4 linked regions of the Medicago truncatula genome follow. The protein of the gene in region 1 interacts with the protein of each later gene in a pairwise test. Links are inferred from orthologs where the notes say so. Each region holds a gene or a part of one and is shown in the gene's direction. Other genes may lie near its edges.

Region 1 (6,283 bases):
TGACAGATGCTGACTGTGTAAAGTTAGCCACATGGCAAATACGTGGAATTTAAAAGGAATTAAATAAATTAATAAATCAGAAAATGTTTTTATTTATTTTATTTATTGTATTAATCTTCTATATTTTAAATTTATTAAAATATAAAGGGAGGAGAATTGAAATTAGAGTTCATGTTACTTTCATCTTCTTCTTCCTCATACCAGTCAGTCAAACAGAAGCTTCCCAAAAACAGATAAAACCAAACAAGCACAACAACAATCCCAACAGGCACAACAACAATTAAACTGAAGCATCACAAGGTTATAATTGCTTCAATTTTAAACAGCTAATTTCAAATTACCTAATTTCCATATCTCAAATTTTCCCTCTCAACACTATAAAATTGGATCTGAAACGAAACCATTCATGTTTGCCACAATACACAGTGACATCACTGCTTTCTCTAGATCCGGTTTGAGAAGATCTTGGAAAAATCTTCAACCCAAATTCAAGAATAACAAGATCCGGAAAGAATAAGATACTAGAAAAAGCTTATGGGTTTAAGAATAGAGCAGTGGCAAAAGAGTAAAAACTTGGTTTCAGAGACAGGTTAGAGAAGGATCTTGTAACTTTGAGGGTTGGAAGGAAGATGACGACGGAAGAATAATATGGGTCTTTGAGTTTTTTGTATTCTAAGGTTGGATAAAGAATTAACGAGTTGTTGGATTTGGGTTGAAATTAGATTAGTTTATGAGTTTGGAATGGAGTGTTGGTTTGAAGATGATAAGATTCTTTTGGTTGAAGATTCATGTGAAGAAAATGTAGATCTGTGTGTTCTTTCATTTTGTGAGGAAGGGCTTGATGGTGGTGGTACCGGAAGAACAAACACGCGAAGAAGAAGATGAAACATATTGACTAAAACCAATGTTTTTTTTTTATGAATTTTAATTTTATTTTAGTAAATGATTTATAAAATATTTATAAAATACTTTAATGCGACATATGCGAGTTGACACAGTCAGCATCTGCCACATAGGCTGAAATAAGACAAATCAACAAGAAATTGGGTCAAAGGACTATTTTAAAAAACAAAATTTTTTGCAGGGATGAATTTCAAAAATTTCTTTTACTATCGACCAAAACCCAAACTCGCCATATTTGCAGGGACCAAAAGCATATTTTAGCCTAGACGGAATGATAAAACTATTATAAACTCACACACAAGTGGAGGTACCGGGGTTCGAACTCCGGTCTAACAATTTCAGCATTTTTACCGGTTGAGCTAGAACATATGGATTAATATTCATTTATTTAATGACTGAAAATAAGATAATACAATCATACATTTTCTTTCCTTTTTGACGATAACATAAGACCCATTTATTTAAGGACTAAAAATAAGATAATGCAATCAACAAATCATACATTGAAACAGATGAGAAGCTTTGAGACTCTCACATGCTATCCGATGGATAGAGGTGTCAAATGGGCTGGCCCGGCCCGGTCTGACCCGCGTGGGCCAACTACATAAATGGGCAAGCTCGGCCCGTGTGGGCCATGGGTCAGTCCGGCCCGTTTTAGTTTTATTTTTTAAATTTAATCACTCTTTTATATGTATTTTTTATGTATTAGTTACACACCACTATTTTTTTGCTAAAATATGATTTGGATGGACATAAAAATGTAAATAATTTTTACATTAACGTTGAATAATAGTTAAACTATAGATTTTTCCTTCAATTAAATCAAATTGATAATTTATAAACTTTAAAATTTTAATACTTTAAGCTAAATTTATTCATATTTATTAAGTTTATTTATTTAATATTTTTTATTAATAAAATTTAATTTAGTTGATAATTTTTAAAAAAAGCTAAAATATGCTTTTGGTCTCTGGTAAAAAAAACTTTGAAATTCATCCATGTAAAATTTTTTGTTTTTTAAAATAGTCATTGGTCCCACTTTACTGATGATTTGGCGCATTTTTGCCTACATGACATTCGTTGACTGTGTAATCATGCACACGTGTCAAACATCTGTCATTTAACATATTTTAATTATTTATATATCATTTTAATAATTTAATATGTTATTTTTACAAAATATAATTAAATAAAATAAAAAATAATTGTTTTTAAAAATTCCTTCTCTTCCCCTTCATCATATTCACCATTAAACCCACCAAAATCAAAAGAAAAACATTAAACATTCATCATCAACCCAATTTTTTTTTAATCAAGATCTTCATCCAAAACATTTATCAGTAACGCATATCATCATCTTCAACCCAAATGTTCATCCAAAACTTATCACATATATTCATCTAATTATTCATAATCCAATCAAAAATAATGAAAGATTTCAATGGGAAAAAGGGAAGAACTTAGTTCATCATCGAATATGAACAAAACCCAACAATAAACTTAAACTTAATTCAAATCAAGATCCACATGAACAAAAAGAAGAAACAGATAGGGAGGGGAATGGCCTTTCCATTATTGGTGGACCTTCCCTTGAATTGAACCGGTCACGGAGCTCTCCATTGAGTTGTTTAGGTTCTGGAATTCCATCTCTAGTTGGGGGTTTCAGTTCGAAGGTTATCAAATGTGGTGCGGGTTCATCTCTCTCGACCAGTTCAGGTTCAAGGGAAGGGTGATCGAGGGGACCCAGACTTTAGATCTCTTTCTTCTCTATTCTATGGCGGGAGGTTTCTTTCGTATCAAGAGTGTGTTGGGGAGGCCAGGGAAAGACGGAAGAACTTAATTTATCATCCAACAAAAAACTTGTTCTCCAAAAAAAAATCACTCTCTCGGTCCCCAATTTTTCCGTAACAAAACCACTATTTCTTTTTCTTCTCTGCAATATTTCCCCTCTCCCCTTTCAATCCAACCCATTTAAACCCCTCAACCAAATCAAACCCATTTCAATCATATCCAAATTTTGAGAAAGCAACAAATTCATGCTTCAGGTTCCAACAGAGTCATCTCTTTTGTATGATAATTTGAATTTGAGTTTGAACGTTAGATAAGTGTTTAAAGGCCAGATTTAAGTATGAAGGTTGTTGTTGTTGTTCACGACGGTGGGAGATGAGTGGAGCCTCTTTGTGAAAATTAGAGCATTTTCTCCTTTCTGTGAATAGTGGGGATGAATGGGTTCATATTTGGGTTAAGAATGAGGAGAAACCACTCATCTGAAAACAATATGAAAGATAGATTGAATATGTGAGGTGAAATTTTGACAAGGAATGAGTGAGATTTCCGATTTCATACGAGGCAAAGAAGGAAAACAAATTAATAGATGGAAGAGAAAGTGATGCAAAAAATGATTTGCAATGAAGAAGAAGATTCACGAAGAAGAATGGTAGTTATGAAGAAGAAAATTTTATCCCCTTTATGTATTTATGTTGTTAATTAAAAATAAAAAAATTATTTTATGTTTTACCTATTTATTTTATAAATGTTAATATAATTTTTAATTGCCACATGTATAACTTATGCACAGTCAGCGAATGCCACGTAGGTAAAAATGTGCCAAATCATCAGTAAAGTGGGGACAAGGACTATTTTTTAAAACAAAAAATTTTGCACGGATGAATTTAAAAAAAAAATTACTAGGGACCAAAACCCAAACCCAAACTTGCCATATTTGCAGGGACCAAAAACATATTTTAACCTTTAAAAAATATATTGTTTTTTTAACAAAAATCAAATGAAATATGGGACGGCCCAAATCCCGGTGGCCCAACCCAGCCCAACTTTTGTATGGCCCAAATGTGCTTGGGCCAAAAAAGCCCGAGTGCATTTTTGGGGTAGTTTTTTAGGCCCGACCCGGTCCAAAAACATGGGTCAATGGACCGGCCCATTTTCGACAGCTCTACCGATGAATGCATGCTCTACAAGTAACAAATGTGGATTTTGAATTGGATGCTAAGAAGGTTGTATATTTCAATAAAGTGAGTAATGATATAATTGAGTTTGTAATCTTCACTTTAAAAACTCTATGATAAACCGCAAACTAGACTTAAGTCTTAAAATTTTAGACAGGCCAGTCTTGAGTTTATTAGAATGTAGCTTGACTTAACCTATTCTACTTTTATGAGAGACTATTTTAACTAACGAAATGAATAATTAAAAATTATTTTAAAATTTCGATACATTCAAACTATCGTGGTAGTTATAATTTCGGAAACTAAACACAACACAAGAGTTGATCTACCATAACATAATGTAGATGCATTGGACATGCTCTTGGTGGCTAACACAACACAAATTGGGGACGTGGAGGTACCTTCTCGTCAATTTTGGCGCATACCATATATTATGCTAGTAGGAGGAACGAAGAATGTCAAGTGAAGAAGAATAAGGCAGTTGAGATTTTAAGGCTCGTGCCCTTCCTTCAGTCACCCCATCTTCTCATTTTCACTTCCCACCTAACTTTTCCCTGTCTCTCTTCCCCTTCCCCTTCTTCCACCATCCACCAAAAATGGATAATTCAACACAAGAATCCCATCTCCGATCCGATAACAACTCCGTAACATACGATTCCCCATACCCACTCTACGCCATGTCCATCTCTCCCAACACAAATTCCCCACAACAACGTATCGCCGTCGGAAGCTTCATCGAAGAATACACAAACCGCATCGATATTCTCAATTTCAACCCCGATACCCTCTCACTCAAACCTCAACCTTCACTCTCCTTCGATCACCCTTACCCACCAACCAAACTCATGTTCCATCCCGCCACACATTCTTCTCTCCAGAAAACCTCCTCCGACCTCCTTGCTACCTCCGGTGACTATCTCCGTCTCTGGGAAGTTCGTGAAAATTCCGTTGAAGCTCTTTCTCTTTTCAACAATAGCAAAACCAGTGAGTTTTGTGCTCCTTTAACATCATTTGATTGGAATGAAATTGAGCCCAAACGAATTGGAACTTCAAGTATTGACACTACTTGTACTATCTGGGACATTGAAAGAGGCGTTGTTGAAACGCAGTTAATTGCGCATGATAAAGAGGTTTATGATATTGCTTGGGGGGAATCAAGGGTTTTTGCTTCGGTTTCTGCTGATGGGTCTGTTAGGATTTTTGATTTAAGGGATAAAGAGCATTCAACAATTATCTATGAAAGTCCGCAACCTGATACCCCTTTGCTTCGTTTAGCTTGGAACAAGAAGGATTTGAGGTATATGGCCACGATTTTGATGGATAGTAATAAAGTTGTGATTTTGGATATTAGATCACCAACTACACCGGTCGCGGAATTGGAGAGACATCGCGCTGGTGTTAATGCTATTGCTTGGGCTCCAAGAAGTTCAAAGCATATTTGTTCCGGTGGGGATGATGCACAGGCTCTTATTTGGGAGTTGCCGGCTGTAGCTGGTCCGAATGGGATTGATCCGATGACTACGTATTCTGCTGGTTGTGAAATTAATCAGCTTCAGTGGTCTGCTGCTCAGCCTGATTGGATTGCTATTGCTTTTGCTAATAAAATGCAGCTTTTGAGGGTTTGAGTTTGAATTTCAGGTGAGGGAATAATTTACTTGTAGTTCTGGAAAACCAATTACTCATTGTGTTGTTGTTGTTGTTGTAAGTTGTGACTGATGAGTAGTTTAGTTTAACTTGATCATCTATTAAATTATAGAAGTATGCCATGACATGGATTCTTTTGGTGGTCTTAAAGTATTGCTGTATCTCATATGTGAGAGTGGGTTGGTTACTGTAATTGTTGGGTAGGGCGAACTATTTTAGTTTCATGTTTTACTTATAGCATAAATTGAGGTTACATTTGCTTGTTCAATTGAAGATGGAACTGGCCAATTGAATAGTTTAGTTACTGCATATCTAGCAGTAATGTCAAATAGCGGACAGCGGAATTTAAACAAATTGCTATTGTTTTGCGATCCACTATTTAGTTATCAAATAGCTGCTATTGTGGCGGCGCGATAGCATAGCAGAATTTCAACGAAATGCTGTTTTCCGCAATCCGCGATTGACAACACTGACATCTAGATAGATCATCCTTGTTAAATGTCAAAGTTTATTCTTTTTCTTGTGTTATTGAACAACCTGCCTCCTTGTATGCATGTCTCAGTAGTAGTTTTGATCATGCACTTTGACACCTCATTAGTTTTTGAGAAAGATGGTTTATATGCCCAAGTGGTTGCAATCTAAAGAATGCTTATTTGTTAAATGTTGCTAAAGCCTTGATGTGGTTTGGGGTTATCTTTGGCACTTATGTAGATATTTAGTCAAAGAAGTTCAGTAGCAGTTAAGCTTAAAGAAAACTTAACCCCTTGTTATTA
Region 2 (7,151 bases), on another chromosome or scaffold:
ATTACAATGCAGCTGGCCGAGCTGGTTGGCTTTAGTATTTGCCAACCAGGAAGTTTAAACTGCTGCTAAACTAAGACTGAGCACTGTACCAGCTCTTGACTGCATAAGTTTTCTTGGTGCAAGATAGATTGTGCCCTACATTTTATATTGCTCATTTTTAGTCACCCTTGTGCACCTTTAAGCCCCTTTTCCTTCTACATTTTTCTTTGCTTGACCTTCATATCTTAATCAGCTATTGTCCTGTCTCTGTGGTTGAAGTTGTCGTCCAGATATTGTTTTTTGTTTTATATTAAGTTTGAAGTCTGTTGCAATTGATTAAAGAAAGGTTAATTTCTTTTATGGGTATAAAAAATAGTATAATTTGGATTTTTGTATTATTGTTGTATTTGTTTTTTCAATATTAGTTTGGGGCGGCCATCAGTGATTGGTTCCATTGGAAGTGTAGTATGTAAAAAGTTGAATTTTATCAGCTATATCAGTTTCAACTCGAGATATCAGTGTTTTTTTTTTTTTTTTTTTTTTTTTTTTTTTTTTTTTAATTTTAAAAATTAATATGATGTTCACAGCTATATCTATAGGGATTTTCATCTACCGTAGTTGATTCTAACGGAAGGGTAACATATTTGCCAAACCAAGGTTCAAATCAATATTGGAAGAGATATCACTTTTAGTGATAGACCGTGTCTTGAATAAGGTTAACTTCGTTTAGAAAACATTTGGGAAACCAAACAAAAAAAAAAAAAAAAGAGAAATCTTTAGGGATTTTATGTTCCTAAATCAAATGATGCAAATGTCATAAATTTTGCATGATAGTTATTTTTATCTCATAGGGTCACGATGCATATTAATTTTCTTTTGGAAGTGTTGAGATGCATATTTTTGTTATTTGATTAATTAAAAGTAGGAAAGCGTCAAAAATCTTAATGTTGTGCATTTTTGGCGGTGCTTTGGAGAAATGATAACAATGTCTTCTCGACCCCCTCCAAACAAGACAAAATATTGACAAGTGAAAAAGGTGAAAAATTTATGTTATACTAGAGGTGAAGATATGTTGACTTCTTTTCAATTTGAATTGTAGCCAACAAGGCAATCAATTTTTTTTTTTTGACAAAATAAAAGATATTCATTCATTCAAATTGAAAGAGAACATCAATATAATGCAAATTCACTTAAAACAAAAAGGATGAATCTGTGAATAGACTAACAACATCCATGTTAATAACATAAAACGGCAAAGTACAAATGTCTACACATATTACTATATTTAAATCTCCGGAATAATCATATTTCCGGATCTACAACGTGGATGACGTCAAAGTCATTGATTGGATCTGCACTTGATCGAAGCTGATCTGACAATCTGAAGTGATCAAATACCTGAGAGAAACAAGAAAAACAAACAACGTCGCACAAAGACGACGAACAACCAACGTTGTACGAAGACGACGAAATCACAAAATAAAAAACGAAATAGATGTGAAATAACTTATTTCAATAAAAGGAAAATAGAAAAACGAGTTAAAAGGGAAATAACAAGGCAATCAAAATAAGATGTTAATTATTAATCAACTGATTAACTCTTGTAAACAAGAGGCTAAAATCATCAAACAAAGTGATTTAATTAAATAAGTTAATGTTCATTCTCTGTCAAAATAGGAGAAATTATATATAAATTAGATTGCAAGTTATAATGAAAAAGAAGTGAAATTTTTTAGACCTATGCTGAACCGAGTTTAGGTCTGCTCCATCCATTTAGTTCATGGATGCACGACATATGACAAAATAATATTTAAGAGTCGAGATATAAACTTAAAAACAATTATTTGTTTGTTTAATAAAATAATAATAATAGTAATAAATCAGAATCCTCTTCCTTGCATTACCGTCTGTTGTCATCAACCTCCACCTGCCGCTTCATCACAGCCTTGTCTTGTCGTAGCCGACACAAACCAACCAAGCATCGCTCTTTTCATCTTCCACACCCGTCGAAATTATAGTGAAACATTGATCGATTTGAGAAGAAAAAACAAACAACACAGAAATATACAAAATTTGCATTAATCCCAATTCTTCAATCCCATTCATTGCTTAATTTTACAACTATATCATTATTATTGTTCACCATTCTTAATTTCCCCTAAATTTGTTTCAGATTCTAGTATGAGAATTCAAATGGGTTTGGCTTGTTGAGTTGGAACAAATTGAGATGGAAAGGGATAATTGGAACCAGAATAATAATGGACGGTGAACGATGTTAAAAACTGGTTTTTGATGGCAGCTGCAAGACCACACTGGATTGTTTAAATTTGAACCATTAGATGTTTCTTTGTCACATGTCGTGCATCATAACTTAAATGGATTAAATGAAACATTATTTAAATGGAACATATCTGAACTCCAAACCACCCTCAACCTATATGTTTTCTTAGCGGACCAAGTCAACTACTAGTGACGGGTTCAAAACTTTGAAAAATGTGGGATAAGTGGATGGACTAACACATTTATTTAAGGGTGAGCAAAAAGAACCATGAATCAAACCGAACCGCGCGAACCTAATTGAACCGAACCAAAAATAACCGAACCGTTAATTTATTAATAGTTTTTGAACCATAACCGAACCATCTTGAACCGAACCGAACCAAACCACTTAAACTGTTTTTTTTTTTTAAGGAAACCACTTGAACTCTTTGATGGATCTTTCCAAAAAAATACAACTTATCTAAAATAGCTTATTTTATGCAAAACACCTTATTTTAAAAACATCTTATTTTATGAAAACAACTTATTAAAAAAAAAACAGCTTATTCAAAACTGCTAATTTTATGGAAAATAGCTTATTTGAAAAACAACTTATTTTAAAAAAACAACTTATTTTATGAAAAACACCTTATTTTAAAAACAACTTATTCAAAACAGCTTATTTTCAAAAAACAACTTATTTTATGAAAAACACCTTATTTTAAAAACAACTTATTCAAAACAGCTTATTTTCAAAAAACAACTTATTAGAAGCATGTTTTGAATAAAATAAGTTGTTTTGAATAAGCTGTTTTTTTTTTTAAATAAGTTGTTTTCATAAAATAAGCTGTTTGAATAAGCTGTTTTTTAAAATAAGGTGTTTTGCATAAAATAAGCAATTTTAAATAAGCTATTTTTTAAAATAAGTTGTTTTGCATAAAATAAGTTGTTTTGAATAAGTTGTTTTGCATAAAATAAGTTGTTTTGATTAATTTGTTTTTAAAAAGAGGTCGTAACAAGCTATTTTTAATAAAATAAGCTTTTTTGAATAAGCCGTTTTTCATAAAAGAAGTTGTTTTGAATAAGCTGTTTTCAAAAATAAGTTGTTTTTCATAAAATAAGCTGTTTTTTAAAATAATGTGTTTTGCATAAAATAAGCTGTTTTGAATAAGTTGTTTTTAAAATAAGTTGTTTTTCAGAAAATAAGTTGTTTATCAAATAAGCTGTTTTTTTTTAAATAAGGTATTTTCATAAAATAAGCTGTTTTGAATAAGCTATTTTTTAAAATAAGATGTTTTGCACAAAATAAGCGGTTTTGAATAAGCTATTTTTAAAAAGAGATCATAATAAATTGTTTTTCATAAAATAAGTTTTTTTGAATAAGCTGCTTTTTAAAATAAACTGTTTTGCATAAGATAAGTTGTTTTTGAAGAAATAAACTATTCTAACTTTTAATTTTAATTTGTTATTTTTTATAATAAAAGTGATTTTATTCATTGGATAAATAATATTTGTTTTGGTTCGGTTCGGTATGGTTAATAAGTAAGCAAATGGTTAACCAAACCATAACTTTGGTTCAGTTCGGTTAGCTCACAACCTGAAACAGTTTGGTTTGATTTTCCCGAACCATTTCAAAATTTCGATTCGATTTGATTCGGTTTTTTGGGTTAACCGAACCATACCCACCCCTACATTTTTCCATCCTCAATCTTTTCCACACAAAACAAAATCTCACTTTTATTTCTTTCTAGTATTTTATCTATATTATGTTGGTGACAGTGAACCCCAACAACTGGTCAAACGATAGAAATATTGACAGTTAGTTGTCCGTACAAATGTGGGGGGTTGGAACAACCAATCCTTAATATCCACAATGCTTCTCATCTTTTTTTAATTTCCAATATAGTTTTAGTAGTTGTAGATTGTAACAAGCATGTGTTCCAAGTTCCAACTTTATTTATTCACTTTTGGAATCAAAACACTTCCTCTCTTATCTCCTCCCTCTTACATTCATTTTCTGTATGGTTAGTATGTACACATAAAATAAATACTAGTACATAGTATTTAGTATTTATTTACGTAAGTTGTTTCCCTCTCACTCTCTCAACTCCCAAGCCCAATTATAGATTTCATGGATCATTTTTTGAATTTTTTATGGTCATATATATTGTAGGAACTTTTATTTATTTATTTTGACCCTTCTTGTAATGCAGGAGGAGTTAATTTAACTCAGTTCCATGCAATTTGGGAAATTAGAAGTCACAGAATCAAAGCTGTCACTCTTTGGCATGTTAAGTTACAGCTTTTTCTTGACTTTCTGCAGGTTAGTTTGTTGATCCTAATTATCGTGCATGTTTGATATCACGGTGGCTCGCAATGATTTCAGCAGATAATTAATCATACCAAACATGCATATCAATAACCACTTCTCTTTTTTTATGCTTTGGTTATTAGGCTTTCAAGGTTGTTCATTCTGCTAAAAAGTTCCCTTTTTGGTGGGGACTACAATAGTAGATTAAAATTCTAAAATAATAGTAAGACCTCACCATTAAAAAATGGTTTTGCCTCAAATTTTACTTGAATTTTCTTTTTTCAGGCTCATCCTTTCATGTCTTTGGAACGAACACCATTTATTGATTTGTGAGATAATGATAAAAGGAAAATGCTAACACATGTCTTAATGGGAAGGATTAGTTAAATCGTTTAAAGCTATTATATCTGGGACTACACTAGAACTTTTTTAGTCTACGATTATGTTTGCACTATTATTGTCCTTTGAAACTTTGAGTTGTTGACACTTTTAATACAAACAGTTGCATTAGGAACCATTATTAAACCTTTGTGTATGTAATTTGCAAATTTTAATGTTATTTAATTATACCTACCTACCATTGATAAGTATAAATCCCTTGTTAGTTTTTGAAGGTGAAAGTCTTGCAAACAGAATCATACATTGCGAAACATAGCAGTTCATGATGGATATTGAAGAAGCAGAAAGAGTAGTTGTTGCCAAACCAGTTGCTTCAAGGCCTACTTGTTCTTCTTACAAATCTTTCTCAGAACTTCTAGCAGGTGCAATCGATTCCACTCCTCCAATTGCATCTTCTCAAACTACAATATCCGCCATTAGGCCAAAGACAGTGAGGTTCAAGCCAGCAATGAATATCCCCCCTTCTCAGGTGAACATTCAGTGCAACATACCATAATGCAGTGTTTTAAAAACTGAACTGGAAGTTCCAACCGAGTGAACCTTGAACGGACCACTACTATGGTGTGGTTATTTTGGCAGTTCGATTTTGGTTTCGTCTCGATTCGAGCGGTTTAAGACGGTTGAATCATGACCTAGAGGTCATGCCGGATTGATGTCCGTTTTGGTTTTTAAAACATTGCCATACTGTTTTGAAATGCTTCTTGGTTTCTAATGTATGTTGTGTTTTTACCAATTACAGGTTAATATTTCTGGAGGTGCACTTAGCAGTTCTTCTGACATGGATCCCAAACCTGATACCAATCAATCTCTCATTTACAAACCAATGGCAAAATTTGTGTCACAAACAACCGTCTCTCTGTTGGCAAACATGGTCAGTATCTACACACACATATCATACACTTCTTTCTCACATGCATATGAGTTAGCTTAGTTAGTTTTATTTCTGTTATATTTTGTTACTTTATTATTCATCCTATATATAATCCTTCATTTGTAATCTTTTTTGTTCAACCAATTGATCAATGATATGAGTTTATTCAGAAAGTTTACTCTTCATTCATCAAGCAATATAGATGTTTTGAGATGGTTGACAGTCATATTAAGCAAGAATAACATTGTAAGTGACAGCAACTCGCTTATTATATGCTAAGTCTAAATAAAAAATCAAATATGTTATCAAATCCTATCTTAGATTTGTTGGACCACCTGCAGATGTTTAGGCATGTAAACTTTACGCTCCAGATGTCGTGTTTTGGATGTGAGCACATTGGTTAGTGCAATGATATAAACGATGATTATAAGTGAGGGGACAACCCCTCATTCCGTGAGCTAACTTCGGAGGTTGAGTTAACTCCAAAACCAAATTCTAACAGAAATTTCCAAAATAAATTATCCGCTACATTTGTGTCAGTGACTATTGGAATTTTTTATTGGGTTACTCAACCTTACAAAATCAACTTGTAAAGTGAGAGGTGCCTCTTTTTATAAAACTAATTTTAGATTTTATCTCTTTTCAAACGAGACTTGGATTTTCCCTAATACTTACCTCCCTTTCTCTTCTTCTGGAGAAGGGAATTTGCAGTACTAATCAGCAACAACCACAGAAATCAAGGGAGACCAATCCTCAGCATCTTAACCATGACAACTTTAGAGCTAACATGAGCTCGAAATTACATCAGAACATTACCCTTCCTACAGAAACATATCAGGCCACAGAATCTTGTATGATGGCACCACAGAACATTGAGGAGGACCAAAAAGCATTACCATCCACAAATAATGCTGATAGACCTTCGTATGATGGATATAACTGGAGAAAATATGGACAGAAGCAAGTAAAAGGAAGCGAGTATCCTCGAAGTTATTACAAGTGCACATATCCTAATTGTCCAGTTAAAAAGAAAGTTGAAAGATCATTAGATGGTGAGATTGCAGAAATTGTTTATAAAGGTGAACACAACCATGGAAAGCCACAACATCAAAAGCGAAACTCGGGAGCAACATCAGGAATGATTTCTGATGGAATGGTTCAAGATAAAGTATGGAGTAATAATAGTAATCAGAATGAAAGGAATGAAGGAAGAATAGAGAATCAAGTCAAAGCTTCACTGCCTGATGATTCTGCTCTAGAAACTTCTTGTGGTCTAAGTGGGGAATGTGAGGAAGGAAGCAAAGGATTTGAGGCAGAGGAAGATGACTCTAG
Region 3 (7,829 bases), on another chromosome or scaffold:
GGAATCTTAAATGCTGCATGTAGTAAAAAAAAACTAAAGTTTGTACGTCCCTATGTATATGGCTAATTCTTGTTTGTGTAACACAGATACGTCGATCTATGGATAAACAATTTACTTTGGATAAACAATTTAATATTATGAAATATAAGTGTTTATTTATAAGGAGGTTCGACTTCACTTGGTTTACTTTACTTTATTTATTATTATTCATTTACGAAAGAAATAAGCATAATAATAAATAAGGGTGTAAAATTAAACTTTCAATTAAAATTAGAGGTAATAACGAGTCATTGACATTGCCGAGTATAAGCTCTTATTCTCTTTTCTTTACTTTATTTATTTATAATATAGGTGCAATCAGTGGCGTTGCCGGGACCCAGGGTCAGGAGGTTCAAAATTTTAAACTTTAATTTATAATAAATATAATAATATATATCTAAAAAATTACATTGTATTCAATTTACAATGTACTCAAAAAACTTCATCCATTCTTTACAAATGTCCCTTACGCGGTGCCATCTTCTGAAATCGTTGAATAATCAACTCATCATCAATTTTGTCCGCCACATCTCTCTCAATATAAGTCACGAGACAATCATTCATCCAATCATCTCCCATTCGATTACGCAATCTAGACTTCACAATCTTCATAGCAGAAAAGGCTCGTTCAACGGTTGATGTGGCAACGGGCAAAATCATTGCTAACTTCAAAAGTCCATAGACTAAAGGATAATCAATATGTTTTTTGAGTGCAACCATTTTTTTTTTGAAAGATCACTTATTCCTTTCAAAGATGCAAATTCAACACTCCTACGCATATCAAAGATGTAAGTGTCAAGTTGACTATCAAGCAACACCAATGAAGTTGGAGAAAATTCAATTGGATAAAACTTTGCAAATTCAATCAACTTTGCTTTGTCAAATTTAGAGAACGAGTTGTTTGGGCACATACTCTCCATACAAATGAGCAACCGACTATTTGTCTCATTAAAACGATCATTAAGTTCTTGAAGTTGCATGTCCACAACCGTATAAAATAATTCAATGCGGTAATGATTCCCTATTGTGATAGATTCAGCGTTACCTCCACGTATTGACTTTCCACGGAAGAATATATCATCCATGCTTGGAATGTTAATGTCATGCTTATTGCCAAATAAAATTACCTCCTCCAATAAAGGTTCCCATCCATCATCTCTTAGAGCTTGTAATCGCTCCTTTGTGATGCTAATTAGGTTCATAGCATTGACGATGTCTTGATCTTTCCTTTGCAATGCTTGTGACAATTCATTTGAAAAACCTAAGACCTTTTTCATTAAATGCAATGTGAGTGCAAAATCAAAAGTATTCATGAGAATTAAAAGACCTTTTGCTTCACCTCTTCCATCTTTAATTGATACATCATCTCTCAACATTTCAAGAACATCAGTTATAGAACTATACATCAATATCAAGTTCACCAAACACAATAACAAACTTTAAGATTCAATGAGTATGAAATAAAAAACAACATTCTTTCACATTTTCATCTAGTGCTACCACTCCTTTCTTACCATCCATCCCCATTAGAGTAAAACAATGTCACACAGAAGCTCACTCACTATTATAATGAAACATGATAAATTAGTAGGATTCAAACAAAGTAGAATAACATGATTCAAACAAATTAGTAGGATTCATATTAGTTTCTTGGTTTAAAAATCAAAACAGAAGCTCATTCACCATGATTCAAACAAAGCAACATGGAAATGAAACACACAAGTTGAACAAATAGAATAACATGATAAATTAGTAGGATTCATATGTTTTTTTGCATTTTGAACAAATTGAACAGATACTAAAAAATCTGAAGCGAACCATTTACAACAAAAAAACCATGAGTGTTAAATTGCCACTTTAAAACAATTCTCCAATCAATTTCACAACACAGACATATCATTAGGACCCTCAATTGCATATTCAATCAACCAATTTATCACAATTGAAGTCATCTAAAAAAAAAATCCAAATTTCAAAACCCTAAACCAAAGATTTTTAATTGATTACCTTGGTGGTAGATTCAATGTCTTTGAAAGCTTTTGAATGTCCCTTTGCGGTTGCACGACGGCGGAGGACGGCAAAATAAGGTGGAGACGGTGGTGATTTATTGCAACTGATTTTTGAGATGGAGAGAGAACTAAAACGTGATTGTAGATGGTAGTTGAAAGGTCGCGAGAGTGAAGATAGAATGGGTTGGGTGGTGGCGCGGTGGAGTTTGGTGGTGGTTCTGCCGCCGGTGTGGTGGAAGTGGAGGAAGAAGGGTTTTCTAAGTTAAGAGAAGATAGTTTAGAGAGAAGTTAAAATGTGTAAATGAGTGAGTGATGGTGGTTTGGGTCAGCTGGTGCAAAGAAAAAATATGAGGAGGTTCAAAGTGCTAAAAACATAGGGATATATGTGAAAAAATTTAATTTTGAGGGTTGGCAAGTGCATCCCCTCAGCACTATGTGCCTCCGCCACTGGGTGCAATAGTTGAAGATTGCAAAAGACTAACATCAAGTATCATTACTTTAAATTTTTTAAATATTTACCGTGTTGCGAATCAAGCGGCTCATTTCTTAGCTAAATTGGTTATTATGTCTCTTGTGAATTTGTTTGTGTTGATGAAACCCCTCCTTATATTTATGTTATTGTGTCTTTTAAATTTATCGTCATATTTCATTAAATAAATGTAGTCATTTTAAAAAATAAATCATCCCAAAATTTGGTAGCTTAACCGCACAAAATGTTAGAAGAGGTGTATCACATGAACTTTCCAGAAGGTCAGTTGTTTGACCAGCTACCATAGAAAATAAATAAATTTAAAACAAAAAAAAAAATCGCATAGTCATTATTCGATTGTATGTATTTAGATATATTTAACATTTACTCCATCCGTTTCTTTTTAAGTGTCATTTTAAGGTTAATTTTTTGTTCTTATTTAACTGCATTTTGGTATTTTAATGGTACGATTTGTCAATTACTCATATTTTTTTCTTTGTTTGGTTACTCTTATCTTTTTTAATAAAATTAATTAATGTTATATATTTGAAAAACTAAAGTTTTTTTTTTTAAACTAAGTTTTTTTTTTAAAACAAAATTTGTTTCTTGTTATCTTCAGATTTAAACAAATGTAAAGAGATAAATATTGTACACGTACCATTGTTGCTCTTTTCTGTATGCTCTACTAAGTTATCTTCATCCAGTGTGGATCTAGCATTGGTTAAAGCCATAGTTGAAGCCTTAATTTTGATTAAATAAGTTTGAGGACAGATAATTTTTTTCTTAGCTTTTTATTAATGTGAAGTTGGAATAATTTTTATATTGACTTAAATTAATTAAAGAGTTGTGCACAATATTTCGAAAATTGACAATTGTTTGTTATGAGAAGGAGTGTGTAAAAAAAATTGTTGGAGAAAAAGATAGTAAGTAACAAATGTTTGTTACGATCTAAAAAAAAAATGTTTGTTATGAAAAAATATAACATATTAAATTTATTAGAAAGATAAAGTGTGTGCCAAAATATATAAATATATTGGTGGATTAAATTGAGGGTATAATAGGAAGAAAATGTGCAAAAATACACTTTGCTATTTTTCGTGGAAATTTTTTAAAATGACACTTAAAAAGGAATCGAGGGAGTTGTATTTTTATATAAATTTGAAAAAATGCATCACTATAGTAAATAACATTCGCAAACTCAGAGTCAACAATAAGTACTTCATTGGACACATCTTAAATATATTCGGTACCACTGATTTCATGGATAGCTTTGCTCTTTTATTTTTATTTTTATTCATAAACACATTGAACTTTGGTTGGATATTGATACTCCGTGACAAAATTCATTCAAAATTTAACCTTTTTTTTTTTTTTTTGGTCAGGCAAAATTTAACTTTATTTTAAAATAATTAAAACAGAAAATATGACATGACATTAAATAATTAAATGATAGATATGTATCTAATTAAACTCAAAGTACTATTGTGTTCAATTCTTTTTTAACAATGGATGGCTTTGCTTTTAAATCTTCTTAGTAGGGCTTTGAAAATAAATACTGTAATTGGAGAAATGGTGGTAAAAACGACCTTTGGAGTGGGATAACTAATAATAAGGTGGATAAGCATTCACAATCCTCTTTTGTACCAAAAAAGATAGAGATGCTATTTTGCACAAGAATATACTCAACCTTCAGGTTTGGAAGTATATACCCACGTGAATTATCCCTGCTAAATATGTTCCTAATTTCAGAATTAAGTTTAGACCATCATTTGGGATGCCTTATCAACCAAGGCTTTAGTTTTTCACTAGGCTACTCTTGGTGTTTAGGAAATGATATTTAGTGTGTGTTTTTTTTTTTTAATGGATAAAACAGATTTCTAATGAACGAGAAAGAAGAAATAGAAGAATAAAGAGAAAGTTGTTAAATAATTTTTACAATTAATAAATTCCCAAGACAAATGTTTAATCCAAAAATATCCATATATATATATATATATATATCTACATTTTTTCATTGCAATTCTGAATATTATCTTTCTCACTTTCGAAGAAAAGTAGTACGTAATTGTTTCATCAAGTTGATGATGATAAGTACTGTATCGAAAGCAACCCAATCACTTGCATGAAGAAAAAAAAGCAACCCAATCACTATACTCAACTTCTAATCCTCCGCCACGTCAACAATCAGAAACAAATCTACGGTCAAAAAGAAACGATCACGTATCATAAAAAAAACACCGCGTAGCATCTTATCTTTACCTCTCTTTATCCACGACAAGATAGATAAATGGATAGTGTTGTGTTGTTGGTCTTTCTCTCTTTCTCTTTCTCTCTGCAGCAAAACCCGAGGGAGACCAAACCAAACATAATAATAAACTCAAATAAACCAAAAAAAACAAAAACCTTAAAACCTTCAATTTCATTTCATGTCTCGGATCCTGTGATTCGGATCTTCAAAACCCGATAATTCACCTCTCTCCTTCGATCCGGTTCAGAAATCATGACCCGTCGTTGTTCTCATTGCAGCCACAATGGGCACAACTCAAGAACCTGTCCAAATCGTGGTGTGAAGCTGTTTGGAGTAAGATTAACCGATGGGATCCGGAAAAGTGCTAGTATGGGTAATCTTAGCCACTATAGCGGGTCCGGGTCTGGACTTTTGAATACCGGGTCAAATACTCCTGGTTCACCTGGTGAAAACCCTGATCATGGTGCTGATGGCTATGGTTCTGAGGATTTTGTTCCTGGTTCTTCTTCTACTTCCCGTGAAAGAAAAAAGGGTTTGTTTCTTAAAACCTTTTTCTTTTTAACTCTTTTGCTTGCATGTGAATTTTTGGAATTTAATTTTGTTCTGTTTTTTTTTTTTGAGCTAGATGAATTCAACTATATTGGATTAATTATGTGATCTTGTTTTGGATTGGTTTGTATTTACGATTATGACAAAAAAATATTTATATTTTTGATTTTTGGTTGGTGTAATTGTAGGAGTAACTAGACAAGAAAGGTACTGATACGTGTTAACTTTATTAGTGATTGTCTCTTTTGAGAGAATTATTGGAATGTTTCATGAATTTTGTATCTGAATTTTGGTCTAAGAAATGGATAGATACAAGTCTTAGGCCATGTGGTTCAAAAACAATGTTTCTCATGTGCTTCAAAATTACTCATATTTACTTATTTAGTGTCTATTGGGTTGGTGTCTGTTTAACTTGGATGTGTTGTGTATTCTAGTCTCTAATTATGGGGGATGTGGTCCATTAATATGCATATATTACACTGTTTCAGCTATCTAAACTAGGCTTTATATTTTACATTAAAAAAAAAAATAAACGCGTTGAAAAAAGTCTATGATGATAGATTAAATACCAGGCTGTGGCAGGTGTTTAACAAACCTTGTCTAGCTTGTTTCACCCCTAATGATCTGCAAGCAATAGCAGAATATGCTCTTTCTAGCTATATAGTTCGGCTCTAATGAGCTTTCACTTAAAGACGAATAATTCAGGAGAACCTGAGTTCGAATCATGACTAAAACAATCTTTGGCCAAGCTTTATTTTCGTCTAGGTCGAACTCTGGATTACCAGAGGCCCTTTCCCCTAGGAAGTAGGAACCGAAGGGTCAAGACAGAGAAAAAAATGGTCTTTTTGATGATGATTTCTTAAGTTTTATCAGATTACACACAACCCTGAATAGGGTCACATTTCTTAAACGACAACATGGCTAGCTTATTTCCTCCCCTAAATCTAATACTATGTGCAAGGTTTGGCTTCCGATCCATCCCAAGAGTGAGTAGGGCCTAGATCAAACTTTAGATAGACCTTTTTGCTTCAAATGAGATTTGTGGCTATTTTTGCCAGCATTTAAAGCTTTATTTTTTAAACATTCAAATAGTCAATGTTAGGTATAATTTTTTGGGGGCCTAAAGCCTTTGACTCATTTAACTAGGTTTCAGACCAGTACTGTTTAGCTGAATTTGAATTTTATCTATTTGAAGTTCATATTACAGTCAGCTTCAACGGGGATCACGGAAAATTCTTGTGTTGTTTTTGTCAGCTTTTGATTTTTAATATATTTTTTTCAGGCACTCCATGGACTGAGGAGGAACATAGAATGTTTTTACTTGGATTGAACAAGCTGGGCAAAGGTGATTGGCGTGGAATTGCCAGGAACTATGTTATATCAAGGACACCTACTCAAGTGGCCAGTCACGCTCAAAAATATTTCATCAGGCAAAGCAATGTGTCTAGGCGAAAGAGACGGTCCAGCCTGTTTGATATTGTTGCAGATGATGTTTGTCCCCTTATTTCCAAATTCTATTTGCATAAAATGTGTTTCCTTTACATTATGTTGCATATAATGAAATTGATGCCACATAACCTGTTCATTACCATTTGATAAGATTATCCAAATGTGTTTCTTTCTTTAACGATATTGTTTGACCTTTTATGGATACTTTGAAAATTAAGTCAGTGAGTCTCATGTACACGACACTGTTTTCCATTTGGGAAAATTGTCCATTTCCTGGACATTTTGGATGTTGATGACCTCTCTGTGTATTAATAATGTTCGGGTTAGATATTTATAGAACCATGGCTCTAGGGTATTTAGCAATGTTTTAATAGCCGGACTGAACCAACCAACCGGTTGTGCTGAGAGGGAACCAACTAGTTCCCTGGTTGGTTTGAATCCAATTATATAGCTGGCTGGTTGAACCGCAGTTCAACTGTGGCTGGTTCAACCGTTTTTTTTTTAATACTTTTTCTTAAAAAACTTTTTTTATTTGTCATTTAGTTCATTGAACCATGACCTGTATTTCTCACCAATTTGATGTCGGTACTGATTTTTAAAATATTGGTATTTAGTTTGGAGGAAAAACATTGCATTTTCTGATGTGGTTCTCTTTTGAAATTTATATAAGCATTATGTAACCTCACTTTTCCTTTTCCTTCTGAACCTTCTAATTTTTCTGGATTTCTTGTATTTTTGTTTTGATTTTGCAGGCACCTGATACTTCAATGGTACCGCAAGACTTCTTGTCAGCTAATCAACTACAAACTGAAACAGAAGGCAATAACCCTTTGCCTGCTCCTCCTCCGCTCGATGAAGAATGTGAATCGATGGATTCTACAAACTCAAACGATGGAGAGTCTGCCTCTGCCCCATTAAAGCCCGACAGCAATGCACAAGCGTCGGCTTACCCAGTAGTATATCCGGCATATTATTCTCCATTCTTCCCTTTTCCTCTTCCCTATTGGTCTGGATACAGTCCTGAGCCGGCTCCTAAGAAAGAAACACATGAAGTGGTGAAGCCAAC
Region 4 (6,555 bases), on another chromosome or scaffold:
TATGACAATATTGTAAGTTGAATGTTAGTACCCTTTTTAATCACCTGCAAGAAGTTGTAGAAATGGTTGTTTGGACAAGCAAACCAGCTCGTCAAAATGTCGGTTTAGGAGATTAAATTTTGATACTACTATTGGTGGGGTAAATGATATTTTACTGTTAATTTTCATTAATATGTTTGTTCCTTGAGGGCAAGTAACGATACAAGTTTGGGGTTGTGATGCAAATGTGTCATATAGTTAGCCTTTTTTATGCATATTTGGTAGAGTTCAAGTGATTTTAGGTTGTTTTGAAGCTAGAAAAGATAGAAAATTAAGAAACAAGGAAATTGTAAATCATGTCACGAAATGAAGTAATCAGACACAATTTGAACTTGTTATGAAGCATTTCAATTCTTCAAAATTGTGGCATGATCGGAACAAATCGTGACACGATCTCGAGAGCGCCAATTCTTAGATTTGAATGCTAGTGTGGAATTGTGACACAATTTAGAAAATCAAGACACATTTTACACGTTACAAATTTGGATCAATAAAAGGCCAACTTCATTTTAGGGAAAGGGTTTGGATATTTGGTAGATTGAAGACACATTTGAAGCTTAGGATTGCAGATTTTGTGGTGGCTTCCCATCCAACTCAAATTCAGTCTTAATTTCATGTAATGTTGTTTTCTTTTACATTAGTTATTTGTGCATTAGCCATGACTAGCTAAACTCCTTATGATTAGGTATGAGATGATTATATTCTAGTTGTTTGAGACATGTACGTTGTGAAACTCTATTCAATATAAATACAATTCTACTTTTATTTAGCATAATTTGTATTTAATGTTTTTTATATTTTGATTACATATGAAATGAACTTATAGATCAATTGACTATTAGCACTGCCTATTGACTTAGATCTAATTATATTGTAAAATTAAACGAGCCAATCTAAAGATAGATAATTGTTAGGTTGTGATATTAGATTAACTTTCCATGGAACCTTCGAAGATTAAAGACTCACCGTAAGAGATTAGGGGGGTTGTAATCTTAAAAGTGGGTTATGATTCAAGAGATTAATCATAACTATTTTGTTAATCATCATGAAATTAGAACAACATTTATAGGGTCTAGGTGTAGCTTATCAAACAGTGAATAGAGGATTTGAAAGACCAGATCATTTTTCTTAAAAATCTTTACAAACTCATAGACATTTTGCTATTTAATTTATGATTTTTAAACCAACTCTTTGCCATGTTCAACCCCCCAAATTTTAATACATCCTTAATGATAACATTTTTTCTAAGTAGAACTTAAGAAATCCATGCTGATATGATCTTTATATTTTATTACTTCGATAATTTGAGTACACCTACTAAAACTTTGTCGTTAGCCATTACGACTCGTACCATCAGTAGTATATGGTAGTTTGGCCGCCCTGCTAGCATATTCTTGTCGTAGAATTAAATAGGTGGCCTTTATTTTACTGTGGCATTCGCCACAAAGTTGCACTCCCCTGGTGCCATAGTTTTGTTTAGCTTCCTCTTGACAAATTTTTTTGTTTCCACTTTGCTTATCTGTAAACTTCCTATAATGGAGTTTCATACCGTTGGTTCCTTTGCACCATGAGGGAGGGTGTCGTGACATACTAGACTTGGCTCGATGTCCTCCGACAATTGGGGATAAATCCCTGGATCAGGTGTAATCGGTGCATCAACATGATATAGATTCAACCTACTCACTATCCTCGAGTCTCATAGTGAGTGGCATGTGTCTGACCAGTCTGGTCTCATAGTTTTTCCATAACTTCAACCTCGCCTCTTTGTTCGTGGGGTGATTCTTCCCCTATGAGTAGCACTGCTGGAGAGTTCTGATGGGCCAAGATCTCATCTTCTTGGGAGGGCCTAGGATGTCTCTCGGCCAGGGGGAGTGCCCCTTTTATTATCTTGGTTTCTTTATGCTAAATTCCTCCAAACATAGTGAAAATCATGGGGAGATTCTAGGGGTTTCTTACCTTCTCATCGCCAGGGCTTTCTTCTTACTCCACATGTAAGTCATCTTGTTCATAAAATATTTGTCAGACACACTAAGTGTCATAGGAAAGTTCCTTGGCTTCTCTACTATCCTCTTCTTGGAAGATCTCATGTTGTTAGTGGATTTATTCTTTGGAGGTATGGATTTCTCACGTTGCTTTGGTTCATTATCCCGATGATTTGTGTGCTTTCGCAGCTTCCCTTATGGATTAAATCTTCGATGGCATCTTTCAGCTGCAAGCAATCTTCAGTGGCGTGGCCTTGGACTTTGTGGAACCATTAATATTTGCTTTTGTCACTTCCAACTTGATCTTGTAACTTCCTGGGTTGTTCGTGTGAGGCGTTGAGAGGTGTGTACTCGCGATACTTTTGGAGGTAATCTCTAGGGGGCTCTATAGGACCTTTCGCCTCCTCTTCCTAGATTTTTATTATAGGGTTCTCGTTCATATTCTCGTTTCAGGTCGTTCTTGTTTTGTCGACCTTCAACAATTTTTTTTGTATTGTCTATACTTTTCCTCTTTTTCCACCAAATGGTTAAAGTTTTTCGGGTTGTCTAGTTTGATGTTCTCTATGAATTTTGTATTCGACGTCATCCTTTTTCGTAGCCGGTACATCTTCATTTCTTTGTCAGCACTATGGACTTGGATGGCCTGTTTGTTGAACCTTTCAAGGTATTCCTTTACCCGTTCTCCTAGGTTATGGTATATAGCCGCCAAACTGTCGACAAAATTTGGTTGTTTCCTAAAAGATATGAAGTGAGCCTTATGCTTGCACAGTTCTCCTCGAGATCCTATGGAGTGAGGCTTGAGGTTTCAGAACCACGCCATGGCATTGGGTAATCGTTGATCTTACTTGTAAAAGCGTTTTTTTTTCTACAGGCTTAACATCATGCGAGCTTACCTCACTGGATTTCTCTCGACAGAAGCCTCTCGTGAGCAAAACTTTGCAGCTCATTTTGCCACGACGACCTTTAGCTGGAAAATGTTGGTTGCATACTTATTTTCGTCCCCTTTTCGGACCCTCTCCTTCGTCATTCCTAGTTACAACCTAGGACGGTCGAGGTTGTGCTTCATTTTGACATTGAGGAGTCATTGTTCCCCGAAATACTTGTTTTGGAATGATGACGTCTTGGCTAGGGTTTGAGGCTTCAATGTGTGGTTGGCGTTGACCAACCTCAACATGAGCCAAACGTTCACCTAGTGTTTCCATCATCTGATATTGACATTGAATCACTACTATTAGATCTCGGAGAAGGTTAACTATTTGCACTGTTCTAGCATTGCGTGGGTTTCCTGGAGTTCCATCGGTGTACACACCTGTTAGTGGGTTCCTTTAGATCCCTATGTTTTGGTGTCTCACTTGTAGGTTTCTTCGGTTGGACTTAAGAAGATGGTATGTCAGATTAGGATCCGTTGTGTAAAGGGATTAAGCTTTTGTTGTCCACAATAGGTCACCTTACCTTTGTCTCCATCGAAGATGGTGGTGTACCTACATGTGCTCTGACGCCGAAATCAATGAGGAGTTCAAGAGAGAGTGTGATTAATATTAGGGTAAGAAGTGTGTTACCTGACCCAATGCTAAGCATGTGTATATATTGGATAAGTAGGATTTTGGTTGTCAAGCCTTCACCTAGATAATTGTCATTGGGGAACAAGTGTGATCATCTGGGCGGTCCTCTTGCATCCGATCCAGATTGGAAGGTCATGATTTGTTGGTCCGGGCTATTTTCCAAAGGAATTTAGGGCGTGTACAACGTATAGTATCGTCTGCTCTTGAGTCCTTGACCAGACCCGAGTCTGAGTGGAATGGGCCTTAGCCCAATCCAAAACTTGACCAAAGTTTAAATTTTAAACTCAACAAAGTTTCATTTATTTTATTTTAATAAATCCTACCTTAATTTTAATTTTGAAGTCTAAGAGACTTTAGTGTAAAGTTTGTTTTAGACATCTAAAGATGCATATTGAGCCAACTCTCTAAAGAATGATACTTTATAGAGGAAATGAAGGTTTACTCTTGCTATTATTTACGTAGTCATATTGTATATATATTTTTTTTTGTATTTTTCATAGAACATTTATATTTACAATTGATATGAAAAGATCAAAATCCTAGTAGAGATATTATTGTTGAGAAGTTTTGAAAACCAATGGATAAGATTCCTTCTCTAAACAACTCTTGATGGATTAGTCTTTCACCCAAAGTATATCTAAACTTGTAGACATAATTGGGAATTTCTTTTGTGGTTTACCAAAACAAAGTTAATCCAAACAAAAGTTTTTATTGTACAAACACTCAATTTGGAGGGAGAATTGACTATGACTATAGTTTTCTCAAATATGGATGGTGGGCCTACCATGCGTGAATTCTTGATTGGGGGCAAGCATAAAACAAGCAACTTTAGTTTAAAGTAAGACTTTAATTGCATGCACAAATTTTGACCCACGAATGGCCACAACAGTGTAATTGACCACGTTTTCAAAGTATGGCACACCATTTCCTCAACATATAAACCAAACACCAAGAACATACTTGTCTCTTACTCTTCAACTAAATTAATAATCATATCACACGATGGAACAGTTTTTTCCTGAAAATCTTCTAGGTGATGTATTTTGGGATGAACCTCTTTTACCTACAAACCAAAGTAGTTTTGTTCTAACACAACCTTGTCCTACACCAAATCTAAGTGCTTTTGTTCAATATAGAGACCAACCCAATATTAGTTTTGGGGAACAAAGTTTTCTAAAAGGGTCCAATTCAAATAACATGAACAAGAGGATGATTGCATTTTTGAGAAAAAGTTTGCCTTTAGAGAGAAATAAAGTAGCAGAATGTGAAAGAGAACGTGGTTTCAAGCACATGATTAGTGAAAGAATGAGGAGACAAAGACAAAGACAATGTTGCTTCAATTTACATGCAGTGTTGCCTCATGGAACCAAAGTATATATAAAAACATTCACATCATAGTTTTACATTGCATTTTCGGTATCCTACAAAATTTTATATTGTGGCTGTTATATCGTTGTAGAGACATCAAAATCCTTTATATTATGACCATAATTATGGTTGCAGACTGCACTTTAAAACCATGATTAACATATATTACTATGATTAGATGAGCCTTTTAAAATAAGCCATTTTTTAGTTTTCATTTCAAGCTATTTTTAATGTTGAAATTTTTATTTTATTTTTATGGCAGACAGATAATAATTCTGTAGTTCAAACAGCAGCTAAGGAAATTCAAAGGCTACAAGGATGCAAAGAGGAATTGGAAAGGAAAAACTTTGTTCTTGAAGAAAATGTTGAAGTAATTGACAGAAGAAAACAAATTCAATATTTGAGAGTGCCATGTCCTACATCTGGAATTGATTCTATAGTTGAGACACTGAAATTGTTGAAAAACCATGGTGTTGATACAAGAAGCATCAAGTCAAATTTTTCTCAGCAGGAGTTGTTTTTAGTCTTAGAGATAGAATCTGAGGTATGTTTGTGTAATTTTATAAAACTATACAAGATAGAATTAATTAAGATTTCTAGTGTAAGTTGATTTGAAAAAAAATTAAGATTTGTTTATGCTAAATATCTGTTGGTTTGGTGAAAGATTGCAGGAACTGATGTGGAAAAGGCTATTAAGAGATTACTTGATGAACTTGAGTGGAAGCTTCATTCTCATGTCCCGGAAGGTTCAAATAAGCAAATAATAGAATATGAAGAGTTTGGATAAATTTTTGTTTATTTATAAATAGAAAAATATGGCTTTTCGATTGACTTTTCTATGTTATGCTACTGTTGTATGTACATAAGTCGTTTGAATTATTATTGTATTAGCCTACTATAGCTTGTGTAAAAAAAAAAAAGAAACTACCCTGCTAGGACTAGGAGATTTTGGATCAAATAAATTAATTATTCATTGGATGAATAAGTACTAAATTAGTCTCTAATGTAAATTTTATTTTGGCTTTTAATCTTATTTTGGGAAAATACTTAATAGACACAAGTTTTTGGACATAAGATTTCAGGTGTGTTTGATCTCTTAAAAGGTAAGTATGAGATAGAACAATATAAAACAAAATATCATAACACATGATGAAATTTTGTGGTATTGATTCTTTGTCTTATGCAATGTTCGGTGGACAAAAAAATATTTTTGTATTTTATACGAGTTCTATTTGGGACAAAAAGTCATGATGTATTCTGTAAGGGACAATATTTTCAATTTTGTCATGTCTCTATGCCCCTAATTTCTCCGGTCTCTCAAACAATTTTACAATCAAACACATTACAACTGAAGTTTTCCTATCCAAACTCTTATCTTTTAGTTGATCAAACGCACCCTTCGACGCACATATGAAAATACAAATCATTTAATTATTTGAAGTATACACATTGTTCGAGACCACACATCAGCCCAACAACAGCTTACACCCTCTGGTCACTATCATAAGCAAAAATCAACATTTTACATTTATTCATTAAATGATGTATGTGGCCTATAATAAAGATCACATACATCATTTAATGAATGAATCTAAAATGTTGAT

The links.
Region 2: the proteins of protein TRANSPARENT TESTA GLABRA 1 (region 1) and WRKY transcription factor 44 interact in a two-hybrid assay, tested with the Arabidopsis thaliana proteins (2 studies listed by BioGRID). The link is inferred for Medicago truncatula from reciprocal best matches to the Arabidopsis thaliana genes TTG1 and TTG2.
Region 3: the proteins of protein TRANSPARENT TESTA GLABRA 1 (region 1) and transcription factor KUA1 interact in binary tests that used the Arabidopsis thaliana proteins (3 or more experiments, as listed by UniProt). The link is inferred for Medicago truncatula from reciprocal best matches to the Arabidopsis thaliana genes TTG1 and AT5G47390.
Region 4: the proteins of protein TRANSPARENT TESTA GLABRA 1 (region 1) and transcription factor bHLH92 interact in a two-hybrid assay, tested with the Arabidopsis thaliana proteins (2 studies listed by BioGRID). The link is inferred for Medicago truncatula from reciprocal best matches to the Arabidopsis thaliana genes TTG1 and BHLH92.

Annotation. Positions count from the first base shown.
Region 1 is NC_053044.1:45,902,086-45,908,368, reverse strand, and holds protein TRANSPARENT TESTA GLABRA 1, read left to right. Parts: upstream 1-4,220; 5' UTR 4,221-4,462; coding exon 4,463-5,491; 3' UTR 5,492-5,783; downstream 5,784-6,283.
Region 2 is NC_053048.1:47,312,256-47,319,406, reverse strand, and holds the start of WRKY transcription factor 44, read left to right. Parts: upstream 1-4,127; 5' UTR 4,128-4,262; exon of another isoform or gene 4,263-4,317; intron 4,318-4,451; 5' UTR 4,452-4,561; intron 4,562-5,154; exon of another isoform or gene 5,155-5,163; 5' UTR 5,164-5,210; coding exon 5,211-5,417; intron 5,418-5,687; coding exon 5,688-5,819; intron 5,820-6,519; coding exon 6,520-7,151. UniProt on the Arabidopsis thaliana protein: Transcription factor. Interacts specifically with the W box (5'-(T)TGAC[CT]-3'), a frequently occurring elicitor-responsive cis-acting element. Regulates trichome development, production of mucilage and tannin in seed coats, and maybe root hair development.
Region 3 is NC_053045.1:49,443,027-49,450,855, forward strand, and holds the start of transcription factor KUA1, read left to right. Parts: upstream 1-4,819; 5' UTR 4,820-5,017; coding exon 5,018-5,297; intron 5,298-6,596; coding exon 6,597-6,805; intron 6,806-7,515; coding exon 7,516-7,829. Other genes in the region: uncharacterized protein, read right to left, coding at 723-1,307, 1,379-1,405. UniProt on the Arabidopsis thaliana protein: Transcriptional repressor. Direct regulator of the transcription of peroxidase (Prxs) and reactive oxygen species (ROS)-related genes via the recognition of 5'-ATCACA-3' motif.
Region 4 is NC_053042.1:15,355,488-15,362,042, forward strand, and holds transcription factor bHLH92, read left to right. Parts: upstream 1-4,541; 5' UTR 4,542-4,585; coding exon 4,586-4,954; intron 4,955-5,213; coding exon 5,214-5,495; intron 5,496-5,615; coding exon 5,616-5,738; 3' UTR 5,739-6,025; downstream 6,026-6,555.